Linked DNA regions of Notamacropus eugenii. The protein of the gene in region 1 purifies or fractionates together with the protein of each later gene. This does not show direct contact. Links are inferred from orthologs where the notes say so. Each region holds a gene or a part of one and is shown on either strand. Other genes may lie near its edges.

The links.
Region 2: the proteins of STX11 (region 1) and VAMP8 purify together in Homo sapiens (co-immunoprecipitation; 3 studies listed by BioGRID and IntAct, counting the BioPlex papers as one, with this or other methods). This does not show direct contact. The link is inferred for Notamacropus eugenii from reciprocal best matches to the Homo sapiens genes STX11 and VAMP8.

What each region holds. Positions count from the first base shown.
Region 1 is NC_092873.1:232,385,424-232,392,663, reverse strand, and holds the start of STX11 (syntaxin-11), read right to left. Parts: upstream 3,015-7,240; 5' UTR 2,737-3,014; intron 1-2,736. UniProt on the Homo sapiens protein: SNARE that acts to regulate protein transport between late endosomes and the trans-Golgi network.
Region 2 is NC_092872.1:726,536,954-726,544,297, forward strand, and holds the start of VAMP8 (vesicle-associated membrane protein 8), read right to left. Parts: upstream 3,005-7,344; 5' UTR 2,419-3,004; coding exon 2,416-2,418; intron 1-2,415. UniProt on the Homo sapiens protein: SNAREs, soluble N-ethylmaleimide-sensitive factor-attachment protein receptors, are essential proteins for fusion of cellular membranes.

The sequences.
Region 1 (7,240 bases):
ACAGTGACAATAACTTAAAGAAATTCAACATTAAAAGACTTCAGAATTTTGAAAAGCATGAATCAGTCCTGACTTCAGAGTACTTAAAAGTGAAGCATCCCACTTGTTGGCAAAAAGGTGTGGTGAATACCAGGTAGAAAATAAGGCCCATATTTTCAGACATGACCAATGTATTGATTCATTTTGCTTGACTGTTTTTATTTGTTATAAGTTGGGGTACTTTGGGGTTAGGGGACAGTCACTGGGGAGGGCCAGACATTTTTAAAAAATAAAAGAGCATCAATAATTTTTTTAATAAAAGATATGGACAAGAATCACATGGAATAAGAAGGTATGGATGGATTATGATCTGTATTGTGGAAAGCAATAACCACATGGAAGAGCTCATGAATTATTAAAAATGCCAAAGTATCAAAATATGTTAATTTTGTTATGCAAGCCTAAGGTTTTTTTTTTGCATTTGACTCTTGATTTTTTAAGAGTGATATACTAAGTGATATACACTTTCACCTTTATACTATATTTAAATTAGATTTCACTGCCTATCCATAACTTTGAGATTGTATGACTGGAAGATGTGGCTCCTGCCACAGTGACCCCAGATTAAGTTTTATCCAAACATAGTAAATGTGCATTTTTTTTCTGAATCATTTATGTATAATCCATGGACCAATGTCCCAAGCTCTGGACTTATATGAACCCATTTCAGTCTTGGGTGTTTCTCCAATACTTTCATTTTTTGATTCATTTTTCTCCCATTCAGTCCTTCCTCTGGGAAATCTCAGAGCATACTTTTTGTAGCTCATAACTAGGTCTCCACTGATGTGGAGATGGTTTAAGGAGATAACCTGTTACCTATACATTGAAGATAACAATGCATAGGGAATACAGACCTGCTTTTATTTCACTCCGTGGAAAAACAGCAATCAAGCAATACAATTCTCTTCCCTTTCTCATATAGCCATATGTAATAATGGGAGTTAAAGATCTTCCCTGCCCATTAATAGGCCCCAGGTGGAGCCCATATGGGAAGCTTGATTAGGGGAGACTTGTTTTGTAGCAAGGTCCATACCTTTTGTTAATTAAGGAGGCACTGAATCACCAGGGTTGTGATGTCCTCCGGCTCTGTCAAGTGTATATGTACTTTCAGGCGAGGTTTTGCTTTGGGGCTTACTCTTTGGAAGAAGGCGCATGTGCCAGAAGAGTCTCTGGGTAACCATTAAGGAGCCCCCTAGCTTTGAAAACCCAGATGTTGGTGCTTCTCTCTCTCTCTGATAACTATATATGTGTGTAATGGTCAGACAGTTGCATCTGTCTGTTGATCTGTGATGTGTATAGCTTATGGTCAGACACTTAGAAGCCCTGTTGGTCTTTAATTCTCTGTTTATATTGTCTCTTTTGGTACATGTAATTAAAGACGATTGTTGACCCCTCAAAAGTTGCTTTCCTTTTAGAAAAGCAGATCTAAGAACCTGTGCTAGCAGGCCACCTTTGATGTGTCAGGGTGCTTGCTGCTATAGCATCCTTCCTAATGATGCTACCTTGAAGGATTGGAGAATTGAAGTCAACAAGCATTTATCAAGAACCTACTATGTACCAGGCACTGTGTTAAGTGCTGGGGATGCAAGAAAGGCAAAAACAGTCCCTGCTCTCAAGGAGCTTATAATCTAATGGGGGGACAACCTGCAAATAACTATTTACAAATAAGATATAAAGTGGAAATGGTCTCAGAATGAAGGCACTAAGCTTAAGGAGGACTGGGAAAGGTTTCTTGCGGAGCTAAGACTCTGTTGCTTTTATTCAATTGTTTCACTCGTGTCTGATTTTTCTTGACCCATTTGGGATTTTCTTGGCAAAGATACTAGAGTGATTTGCCCTTTCTTTCTCCAGCTTATTTGACAGATGAGTAACTGAGGCAGAGTTAAGTGACTTACCCAGGGTCACACAGCTAGTAAGTGTCTGAGGACAGGTTTGAACTCAGGAAGACGAGTCTTCTTGACTCCAGGCCCAGCACTCTATTCATTGCACCCCTTAGCTGCCCTATAAGTCCACCCTACGACTTTAGCTATGACTTAAAGGAAGACAGGAGATGGAGGTGAGAATTCTAGGTATGGGACACTGCTAGTAAAGATGCCTGCAGTCAGGAAATGCTAGAAAGTAGTAGTGAGCCAATGGAGTTGACCTAATCATATTTTCACTTTAGGAATATCAATTTGATAGCAGAGGATGAATTAAAGTTGGGAGAGACTTGAGGCAAGGAGATGAACCAGAAAACTATTCCAATAGACCAGACATGAGCTGATGGATATAGAAGAGATGTTATAAAGGTTAAAAACAACAGGACTTGACAATTGATTGAATATGGGGTGTGAAAGAAAGGGGTAAGTTAAAGATGGGTAAGGGGTAAGTTAAACAGCAACAAATATAAAATTATGTTTGGCTTTTAGAGCTTTTCATAACCTGGCCCCTTCCTAGCTTTCCAGTCTTTTTATATTTTTGTCCCACCCACATTCACTGTGATCCAGTGACACTGCCCCCTTGCAATTCTTAACATATGACACTGATTATATAGTCTCTGCCAGCTAGCCCAGTGAACCATGGTAACACACCTAAACAAACCCGAAACTATAGAAATGAACACAAGCTGGAACTATAGTGGACAACAACAAACCAGGGGTGGGGCCGTCCCTTCCAGCGCCATCTTGTTCACCCTTCCCTGCACCAGACTCAGTTTACCTGATGTCTGTCAGTGTGGCGTCCCAGATGGTGTGGCGGTCAGTGCCCCTTACAGGAAAGTAGGAAGCCTTCTTCAGACGGTGCAGGCAAGGTGACAGTTGTGGAGTTGGAGGGAAATGCTTCTGGGCTCACTGCTAGGGAATCTCCTTCTTACATGACCTTCCTTGTTCAAATAACTCATGGTGATAGTGGACAGCAAAGTCCAGCTTTTTTGCTATCCTGTTATGGTTCTGTCTTATTTTTCTCCTTTAGATGTAGGGTCATGTGCTCAAACTTCTCCCAAAAAAAGAACTGCCCAGGTACTCCACCTTCCCTCTCTATAAGGCTAGATTCTAGAACTTGGAACTCAGAAATTCTTTTGTTGGGTGTGTAATTACACTGTACCTCTTCCCCAAGGCACCTATTAGGAGCTCCTGGGGAGATGTTTACAGTCGTAGACTCCCTTTAATCTCTAAGTCTTCTTTTAACTGTGCTGCTCTGTGATTGTCTCTAAAAAGAAGCCAGAAGGGACAAAATGGCCTGTGGTCTGTAATGAAGTCTCCCTTTCATAGGCCTAGTCATCCTCAATCATCTTGGTTCACTGAGATTCATTCATCCTAAATAAGGTGTGAATGGGTCAAGACAGTGAACATGTCCACCTTTCTATAGAGAGAATGCAGAAGTGTCAAACAAAGGCTTTAGTTGTCTGTCAGCTCATCAAGCTGACCAAGGAACTCAACTGATCAAGCCTGGAGATGTACATAGTGCTATCAGTGACCATCACGTTAGAACATTACTAAAATGAGACTCAAATAGGCTTGAAAATAATCAACTATTAGTCCTATCTCTACTTTGAAAAGTTTCCATTTAAAACTGTATTGAAGGTTATTTCTCAATGTCTCTGAATCTTGATAGATAAAAGTATTTCCCATCCCTAAATTGTCAAGTAATTATTTGGTGAATATGGGTGGCTAAGGAAGGATTAACAAATCATTCTAGTAATTAAATTAACCTTAAATTTCCTAGGGGCAGCTAAGTGGTGAAGTAGATAGATCATGTGATACTGCACAAATATGCCTCAGTTTCCTCTTCTGCAAAATGAGTTGGAGAAGGAAATGGTAAACCACCCTAGTATCTTTGCCAAGAAAACTCCAAATGGGGTCATAAAGAATCTCACACGAAACAAAAATAATCACAAAATTTGTTAGATACCCTGCTTTAAATTGGGGTTATGGTTTTCTGAATTATATGTCCATCCTGTCCAAATCTACCAATTTTTTTTAAGGCAGCTATGTGGTGTAGGATAGAGAGGACTGGACCAGGAGTCAGGATGATCTGAATTCAAATCCAGACTCAGATACTTCCTAGCTGTGTGACCCTAGGCAGGTCACTTAACCTCTGTCTGTCTCAGGTTCCTCAACTGTAAAACAGAGATTAAAATAGCACCTTCCTTCTAAGATAAATTTGATAATATTTGTAAAGCACCTTGTAAAATTTAAAATGCTAGCTATCATTTTTATTTAACCCTTTGCATTGGCTCAAATTTGACTCTTAATTTGATCCATTTCAATAGATTCCCTCTCAAAAATCTAATAATACTTTATCTGAATTAAAACCTTTTCCCATGTATTCCTACCAGTCTGGGGGAGGGGGTGCAGGGAGAGGGAGAAAAAGAAGCAGTATCATTCTTGATGTTTTTAATATCCATGGATAAAGTGTAAATTATACTTATTTTTGTGCCATTTGCATTAATGTCATCATGCTTAATATGGATTTGCATCAGTAAAGCTTGCAGGCAAAAATTATTTTTGGTTCTGACAATGAAATAATAGTTTTTCAATTTTCAACAGGAGTATTACAACTTATCTTGGTCAAAAACTTGCTAGCTAATTTTGCAGCTAACTTTTAATTTTATCTCATGAGAGTTGTAAAGAGATTAAAAAGAAAAAATAAAGATAGGATTTGATCTACAGCTATTTTTTTGTTGGGGGGAAATAGAAGAATAGGCTTCAATGCTGAATCACCTAAGTGTTTGAAATATCAACAGCAAGCAATATTTTATATTAGTTTTTGCACTGTCTATTCTAATTTCTTTACATCGAGAAAAAGAAAACAAAGAATAATAAACTTTTGAAGACACAACAAGCTCTCTTTCGAGTTTAATAAGCCCAACAGAATAGCAGCTGATGTAAATAGTCAATATTGGAGGGGCTGCAAAAAAACTCACTATAGTTAGTGGAGCTAGGAAGCTGTTCAATAATTCTGAAAAATCATTTTATTATGCTTTTTAGAAAGTGACAAAAATGTCAATGGTCTTCAACCCAGATATTCCACTACTATGCATATATTCCAAAGAGGTCAAAGGCAGGAAGAAAGGTCTCATACAAGGCAAAATGTTCAAAGCAGCATTTTTTGTGGTTGCAAAGAACTGGAAACAAAGCAGATGCTCATGGAAGGGGAAATAGCTAAACAAAATGTGTCAGTGAAGGTAATGGAATATTACTGAGACATAAGAAACAATTAACATGAAGACCAAGAAGCATGGGAAAACATAGGAAATAATGTAGAATAAAGGAAGCAGAACTAGGAAAACAACATATTTAATGAATAAAACAACATAAATGTAAGGAACAAAAGAATGAGACGTCATTATACTGACCAAGAAACTTGGATCTGAAAAAGATAAGAAAAGCAGCTTCCTTCCCTTTGCAGAATATTGCATATATACTGTCTGACACAGCTGAAATGTTCTTTGGTTTTATTAAAGGGACATTTTTCATCTTTATTTTTTAGTACAAGGAATGGCTCTCCAATACTTAGAAATAACAGTGATATCAAAAATAAAAGATATTAATAATTTTCTTTGTAAGAAATGGAAGAAAAAGATATTTGGGTCTGCAATGTAGGACTTTTAACTACCCTTTTGCAATTTTCCTTACAGCCCGTTTTTATCCATCTCTTGTGTTCCTTTCTCTGGACTCTATGTGTAGTGTCCTTTGGGGCTGCTAAGGAAATAAGGATGTTGGAATCAGGCCTGCTGATTAGGATAGAAATCCTTCAGAGTTCCTTTCTTTGACCCTTAGAGAATTAGTTCCAACCCAGGACTGATTGAGTCAAAACTTGACAGACAAGACAGTCATTCCATCACTGGGTAGGAGGAAGAGAAGAACTGAGAGGAAAAGAAGTAAACTGAGAGACACACCTTCCAGCACATGAGGTGGGCTACATGGGGAGGCAGGACACCTACCACTAATGGCTGATACAGGAAAGAGACTATCTGGTTAAGTTATTGACCATAGACATGAAGCATATTCTGGGTTTGTTGAAACTGTACAAATTACTGAGCCCAACACTGGCAATTCCTCATATTTGATTTCCAAATCTCCATTTCTTTCTTTCTTTCTTTCTTTTTTTTTTGGTAATTTAAAAAATTTTAAACTTGAATAAAAATTAGAAAAGAAAAAAGAAAAAACTTAAATATAAAATAAGAAAAGAAAAAAATGTTACCATGTGCACAGCAGAACATGAGAGGATTCAAAATATAAAGCCATAAATTTCATTTCAAGAAAGTCTTTATACTGTATTCAGAGCTGTCCATCTTTTTTTTTTACTTCCTTGTAGGTTTTATTTTGTTCTCTGCTGTGTACTTTTTATTTTGTTCTTTTTCCCCCTTTCTTCCCTCCCCTCCCCCAAGAAGGCTACAATTAAGCATGGATACACACACATACATGTGAGCACATGCACACATATACATATGTACATGCACATGCATACATGCACAAATTCATACATATACACCTATATACACAAAAATATACAGACATACGTAATACACTTACATACACATTCAAAGATATCTATAATCATACACATATACATTCATATGCATCTAAGACCATACTAGTTTGTGCATTTCCATTTCTTGAGTTCGTTTTATTTCTCTTTTAAGGTTTTTTTCCCTAAGACAAATAAGGCTAATCTCTATCTTTCTGACTTGTGTTTCATTACTGAAATATAGCAAAAAAAAGAGAAGATAGGAAATATGTTTTTTTTCAATTGTAACATATTCATCAAGGCTATTTTGGAGGTCTTCAAGTTATAGATGAGAAAATTATTGATTCCACTTTAGAGATTTTCAAGTTATAGATGAGGAAATTATTGATTCCACTTTACAAATAACCCAGAGCAAAGAAAGGAAACCTAGCACCAGATATTTCTAGGCAAAATGAGTCAGCATTTTCAATGGGCAAAGGTTGTGGTGCACTGGGCCTGATAACAAAGGTTATCAACAAAACTCAGTCATTTTTCCTTCTTATTGTCTTCCCACAGCTATTTCGAAAGGAAAACCATTCTTACAGAGGAAGAGGCTGGAAGAAAAATCCATGACAGTGTGGAGAAAACAAGGGCAAGGCTGGGAAAGACAGATTCTGCCCCTATAAACAAGAGTAGGAGCAAATAAGAGGATTGACGACTCCTGCTCACTTGCTTAGCAAAGCACTACCACTCTCCAGTACCACTGCTAGAT
Region 2 (7,344 bases), on another chromosome or scaffold:
CAGTAAATACAAATCATATAAATACAGTAAATAAGGAAAAACATAAAGTACTTTCAAAAGGGAGATGGTGCTGATAACTGGGGAGATCTCACTGAGCAGCCTCAGGGAGAAGGCGCCACTAGTGGTTCCAAGACTCTGAGGTGAGTACATCTCCCCTCTTCTCTCAGAAATTTCCTCCTGGAAAAGTCCTGCTTCTATTAGATTATAACCTCATTGAGGACAGAGGTTATCTCTTGCTTCTTTTTGTAAACCTTAGTGCTTAGTAAGGTGCAATCAATTAATCAACATTAAGCTCATCTTCCAGAGTTCAAATCCAGCTGCAGACACTTACTGGCTGTGTGACCCTGGGCAAGTCACTTAAACCCTATTTGCCTCAGTTTCCTCATCTGTAAAATGAGTTGGAGAAGGAAATAGCAAACTGATCCAGCATCTTTGCCACAAAAACCCCAAATGGGTTTTTGAGTCAGACATGACTGACAAAGACTGAACAACAACAACATTGTAGGTGCTCGATAAATGTTGGTTGATTCCTTTCAGCTGCACTTCGTGGCTGCTTAGAAATGAGTCCAGCAGTTCTAAGTTACCCCCTCCCCCCACTCCTCGGCCCCCTTCCATCTTCAGCCGTTGAGCCACAAACTTCTGCTTTTTCCACTCCCAACCCCCCAGTGGCCCAGGACGAAGGGATAGGGGGGCTCGGGCCACTGAGGATGTTGGTGCCAACAGTCAATAAAACTGTGGGAGACAAAGAAGGCAGGTCTTCTTGAAGCGTAGCCTGTGACTTTGTGATACCTCACGTGGTATGGAACAAGCCTTGGCATGACAGTCATTGGCCTTGGGTTCAAATTCCAGCCCTGATTCTACTGGCTTCTGTTTAATCTTCACAACCACCCAGTGAGACAGGTGCTATTATTATGTCCATCTTTACAGATGAGGACATTGAGGCTGATATTTAAGGGTCACACACACAGCTATTAAGTGTCTGAGGTCACTTTGAACTTAGAAATTCCCAAGCCTGTGTTCTACTTTTATCTATCCACTCTAGCCAACCCTGGGCAAATCACTTTATTTTGATTAGCTTCCATTTCTCCATCTGTAAAGTGGGGATAAATTGAGTGCTGGCCCTGGAGCCAGGAGAACCTGAGTTCAAATCTGGTCTCAGACACTTGCTAGTTGTGTGACCCTGGGCAAGTCACTTCACCCAGTTTGCCTCAGTTTCCTCATTTCTAAAATGAGATGGAGAAGGAAATGGCAAACTACTGCAGTATCTCTGCCAAGAAAACCCCAAAGGAGGTCAAGGAAAGTCAGACACAACTGAAACAACTCATCAACAAAGAGGGGATAACTGACTGCTACCTCAGTGGGTGTGGGGGTAAGGATCAAATGGGATAATGTATATAAGGTGCTTTCTAGATTGCAATGTGCTATAAAGTTGTTTATTATTATTATTATTATTATTAAAGACTAAGTGACCTGCCCCCTTCCCTTTCAGGCAGAGGGAAGGACTAAGTAGATAAAGCTAAGGGAAAATTGTTTGAGGCCCCCAGTTAAGGGACCGCCCCAAGGTCACAAGGCTAGTAGAACAGTAACTTGGTAGCTAGAGTAGCCAGAGGCTTGGAGAGATTACGTAAGCATGCTTTAAAGGGAAGAAAAGCAATCATTCCTGGTTCTTCCCCTTCATCCCCTCACCCCCAAAGCCTGGGTAGGTAAGGTCTGAAATCATGACATCACACACTGAATACAAATTCCACATTTGAGGAGCCAAGGCTGATCCCTCCGGACAGAAAGAGTAATGAAGAAGGGGTCCTAGTTCCAGCCCAGCTCACCCAAGCTGATCTCAAGCTTCTTCCCCAGCCCCCAAACCACAAAGCTTTTGCATTCATATCAGAACTGAAGGAAGAAGGGGGGAGGAGAAGCCGCCTCCAGCCCTGGGTAGTTCCATTTCTGTCCAGCTGACCCAGCAAGTTGGGGAACACCGGAGCCCCAAGGGAGCAGCTGGAGCCCTTGGGCCTGGAGGGAGAGGCCTGCCAGGCTTTGGTCCCTCTCTGGCGGGGTGGGCAGCCAGGCTGGGCTCTGCTGCTCCCGGGATCGGGGAGTCCTCCTCCCTCAACCTCCGCCCCCACAGGAACTCGGCCAACCATTCCAGGAAGAATTCCCGGTCTTCGGGGCCAGCAGGGAGGTCAGGGAAGTGAAGGCCGGCAGTGGGGAAGGAGGGGGTGATCAGAGAAGGGAGCAGCCAGCCACAGCTGGGACAGCCCAGAGTCAGAGTACTGGTCAAAGGACAGGAGCCACTGGGGGCCTTCCCGCCTTCTCTCTCCTCTAGACCCTCGAGATGATGGATCGCCACTCTCTTCCCCCTCCCTTTTCCTCCTGACCCACCTCCCAGTCCTTCTCCCATTCGAGGCCTCCCTCACTCACCATCTCTGCCTCCCGTCCAGCTGGGGCCCCTCAACAGCTGGGACAACAGCAGCAAAGGACTGGCTCGGGTACTTTTCTCCCGGGGTGCGCTCAACCTACTTCCTGCTTATTCCAACTTTCAGCCCGCCCCAAAGGCTGAGCTCCGCTGCTGCGTCGGTCGGGTCTACACGGCCGGTCCCAGACTGGGCGGCTCTCGAGGCACACCTGGATCCACAGGTTACATGAAGGAGGAGGCGGGGCTGGCCACCTTGGAGCCTCCCCCAGCCTTTCCTCTAGCAGGGCTGGAGCTTACTTAAAAGACTTAGGGCTTCCTGAGCCCCTCCAAGACTCGGAAGCGCACATCCAAGGCTCCCCAGAATGTCCTAAGAACCTGAGGGAACGAATCCCGAGTCGGCTACCTCAGCGGGGAAGACAGCTCCTGCCGCCCCCCCACCCCCTCCACTTTCCCCCCAGGCTTTCCAGGCTGTTCTCACCCAACTCTCACCACCCAGAAAAGAACAGAGATCACTTTTCATGGAAACATTCGCAAGTTAGAGCCGGAAGGGATGTTAATAGCCACAGGCCAACTTCTTAAAACCCAGAGAAGGACTAGACTCAGAACCCACCGTCTTCTCTCACTTTCTACTCTTTAATCAAAACTACAATTCTGGCAGATTAATATGTGAATGTGGTAGGCTGACATCTGGCCCAAGAAGATAGAAAATTGGCCTTGGAAGACCTGGGTTGAAATTCGGCCTCTAACACCCACTGTCTGCTTGACTGTGGGTAAATCATTTATTCCTTTGGAGCCCCAGGTTCGAAAGATGGAGTTCCCCTGAAGTTGAATGGGAAAATCCTTTTAGCTTTATTTTCATTAGCCTCTAACTAAATTTAAAGTATCCTTCAAATATTTAAAACATTCTTCTAAGAGATCCATAGATTTTGCCAACACATGTGAAGGGGCCCAAGACACACGAAAAGGGGAAGGACCCTCTGTGTCAAGGTTCTAAACAAAAAATAAGTTGCTCATCTGCACCTGCGGCAGGAATTACAGTCCTCTGATGAAATAGTACAAATTCAACATTTATTAAGCACCTACTACATGCCAAACAGCCAGGGTTGGGGAACCTTTAGCCTTGAGGCCACCTGTGGTCCTCTTGGTCCTCAAGTTCAACCCTTTGACTGAATCCAAACTTCACAGAAACAAATTTATAAACAAATTTTCAGCCTTGAGGCTGCAGGTTCCCCACCCCTGGAACCATTTATTAAGTCCCTGCTGTGGGCTAAGCATTGGAGTTGCAAAAACAAAAGGAAAACAGAAACTGAGTTCTAGGAGTTCATATTGGAATGGGATGGGTTTAGCAAAACAGAGAGGAAAGAGACGTTTTGAGGTCGATTTGGGCTGGACAGCAGTAGTGTCTGGGGGGAATCAAGAAAAATACCATGGGAAAGATGAGGATTCCAAAAGTCAGGACGTATTAGAGTGTTAGAACAGCAAGGACTCCTTGAGGTCGATGAATCCAGTTCTCACATTCAAGGTCACCCAGACAGTGGCAGAGCAAAAGCATAGATTCTGACCAAAACAAAAAAAATCAAATCCAAAATTAGAAACTAACTAGGTTGTTTGTCCAAGAAATGTTGCTATGCCTTGCTCTGCTTGAGGTACGGATCTTAAAAAAATGAAGGCACCCTTATTTTTAGTGCAAGGTAGCTGGTAAAAATAAAAACCCTGGATTAGGGAGTTCAGAGACCTGGGCTGGGCAATTTCGGGCATGTTGCTTCACCTGTGTGCCTCAGTTTCTTCCTGTGGCAAAATGTTTAGAGGTTGAGGCTAGATTGTTAGTATCATAGTGCTCCAAGACCACCTAGTCAAACCCCCTCATTTAAAGATGAGGAAACTGAAATAACCTCTAAGATAACTTTTAGTACTGAAATTGTGATTTCTGTTTCTGCAGTCTGAAGCTGGGGTTTTGTTGGTTTTTTTGGGAGATGAGAGTAAGGGGCATTGGCTGAGAAGTTAGAGATACCTCCAATGGAGGGAGGGTTGCCCTGTGAGGGAGGACAGCTGCCAAGCCAAAGGTTAAGACAAGGACTGGAGAACCAGAAAGCTGGGCAGCTGCCCACACAGTGAGCCTGATGCAGCTGGAAATGGGACAGATAAAGGGAGAGGGTCTGCTCTTTGCTGGACACACCATGCTCTCTCTTTCTCTCTGTCTCTCCCTCTCTTTTTCTGTCTCTGAGCTTAGAGCAGCAGCCCCCCTAAAAGGAAGATGACAGTAATTCTGTACCTCACTCCAGAATTACACCAGGTGACAAGAAATCCTGTCAGAGGCACCTTCAGAGAGTCCCCAGTGGCCTGGAGATAGAGGCCTCAAGGGAAGGATTTTTTTCCCACCCCTGGCTCCCTGCCAAAGGAAAAGGCGATTGCTGGTCTTCCTAAATTTTATCTTGGTGGGAGAACATAAAAGGTGTCCTATCTCAGAAGACAGAAAAAGTTCTGGGATGATTTCTGCAGCTGAGAAAAACGCATTCCAGCCTGATGCTAGGATTAATTAGCTTTTTCCTTTTGGTTGTCAGGAGACCCAGATAGGAGAAGGTGATGGCTGGATATGCCAACCTGCCTTCAGTTAGAATGAATGTGGTCACGCCACACTGTAGGACGTTTGACAGCTTAGTTTAGAGGGGGCAGGGTGTGACAGGAAATGGCGGCTCTACCCAGCTGGAGAGCCAGCAAGCAAGAGAAGGGGAATGCCAAGCATACCGAGGAGGGATGTGAGTAGAGGCCAAAGACTGCCATTGACACTCTGGCATGTGTCCCAGGCAAGAGGACACTTGGCCTGGTCCCAAAGCTCCCTACATCCAGGGCCTGTCCTGACTATATTGTCACCCTCATCTTCCTCCAGATGGACACTGTGCAAATGTAATTATAACTCTGGAAGTGAAAACCTGGGCCCCTCAGAGGCTAAAGTGCTAAGGCAGATGATAATGACTTTGGCTCAAGTTATAAGAGACTTGCTAATTAAATGTACAGAGACCTCATTACAATAACAGGGCAGAGGGCAGTAAAGGGGAGTCAATATTTTCATTGCTTAGTAGGGATTATTAACTCATGTCCCACTGAACTTGGTTTAAAAAATATTTTGACAAATGTCTTTTAATATAGTCAGTTTCATCATAATACTGTTTTGAAAAACTGATCACCCTGAGAACGAGTCCATAGGCTTGGCTAGATTGATTGCAAAGAGGGCCAAGACATTCTTGGAGACTAAGAACTCTTGGAGAGTGTGCATTTTGAACATGGTCCTAGCTCATGGTCAAGGAAGTTATCTTCCTCTAAAAGAAAGATCACTTTAGGACATTTGAGGAGGGAAATAAAGACTCCTGGTGGGTTGGGGGTGGGGAAGTGAAGTTAGTGAGAGAAGGCGTGACAACTCACAGAAGCAACCAGGAGGATTCTGGGGTAAATGGTAGGTTTGGTTCCCAGGAACACAAAGGAAACAGGTCTAGATAAAACATAGGCTTAGGAAATAGAATCTGACTAAATTTTGCCCCTCTCTTCTCCTCTATTCCCTCTCTTCCTACATCCATTTTTTTCAAGAAATTAGAAAAAGAAAGAAAAAAAACTTTTTGTAACAAATATGCAAACAAATTTTCAAACTGATCATGGCTGAAAATGTATTTTTCAGAAGGTGGGTAGCACATTTCACCACTCATTCTTGGCTGGTTGTATTGATCAGAGATCTAAAGTTTTTCAAAGTTTGTTTTAATAGTCTTTTTGTTATTGTGTAAACTGTCACACTGGTAGGATCTGATCCAGAGATGTCCCTCTGACCTGGTCTTCCATGGACACCAGGGCCTTCTAATGGTCCAGATTAATCAAGGGCTTTGGTATGGGATCCCCAGGTTAATCCCTTGAAGGGATAGGAACCTCATCCCAGCCCCCAAAGTAGCCTTCCTCCTTCCTTGTTTGAGATGACACAGAGATAAACTAGAGTAGGGGTGGGAAACCTGCAGCCTTGAACATGTGGCCCTCTAGGACCTAGAGTGCTGCCTTTTGACCGAATCCAAACTTCACAAAACAAACCCTTCCATTATGTGTTTCCTCATCCCTGGCCTAGAATCTAGGCCCCAGACCCTCCTAGAACGGACCAGGTAAGCACTTGCTTCAGCAGCTTTCACCCCCAAAATAAATTCTGTTGGTTTTTTTTTTCATGACTGGCTTATTCATAGGCTAATAGGAGCATAGATTTAGAGCTGGAAATGACCTTGGAGCTCATCTCATTTTAAAGATAAGGAAACTGAGGGATTGGGCTGCACTCCTGACTCTCTGAATCATGCCAAAGAAATCACTTCTGGAAATTCACTCTCCCCCTGGACTTCTCACACTGGAGGGACTTTTGGCTCACAACTTCTCTGTCTTTGGCTCTTCCATTTGGAGAAGGATGGCTAAGGCAGTTATGCCTTTGATTCTCTCCAGGTTGCAATCTTGAATCTTTAGACTTTCTTTGCCATTCTTTACCCTGCCCCCAACTTGAGGGTACCTGCCCCTCCAACCCTTTACAGTTTTGTTTTGTTTTTTTACATAGGGTCTTCCCCCAATACATTATAAACTCCTTAAGAACAGGATGAATTGTCTTTCTGCCTTTCTTTGCATTCCTGGATTGGCATGTAGGAAGCTCTTGTTTACTTCACTTGATGACCAAGGATGTTGACTTACCCAAAGGTACTACAGGTAGTAAGTGTGGGATGGGCAGTGTGAGGTAGGAGCAAGATCTTAACTCCTTCTTTCATGCTGGTTAATCTAGTTATACCTTAAAAGGCATTGAGATCATCACTGAAATTTGGCTGGCTCAGAGGCCTAAAGGCTCATATTGATCCTCATCACCTGAGTACAAAGCAGTAAGGACCTTGGTGGGGAACAGGAGGATGGGTCTGAGATGCTTAGCTGAT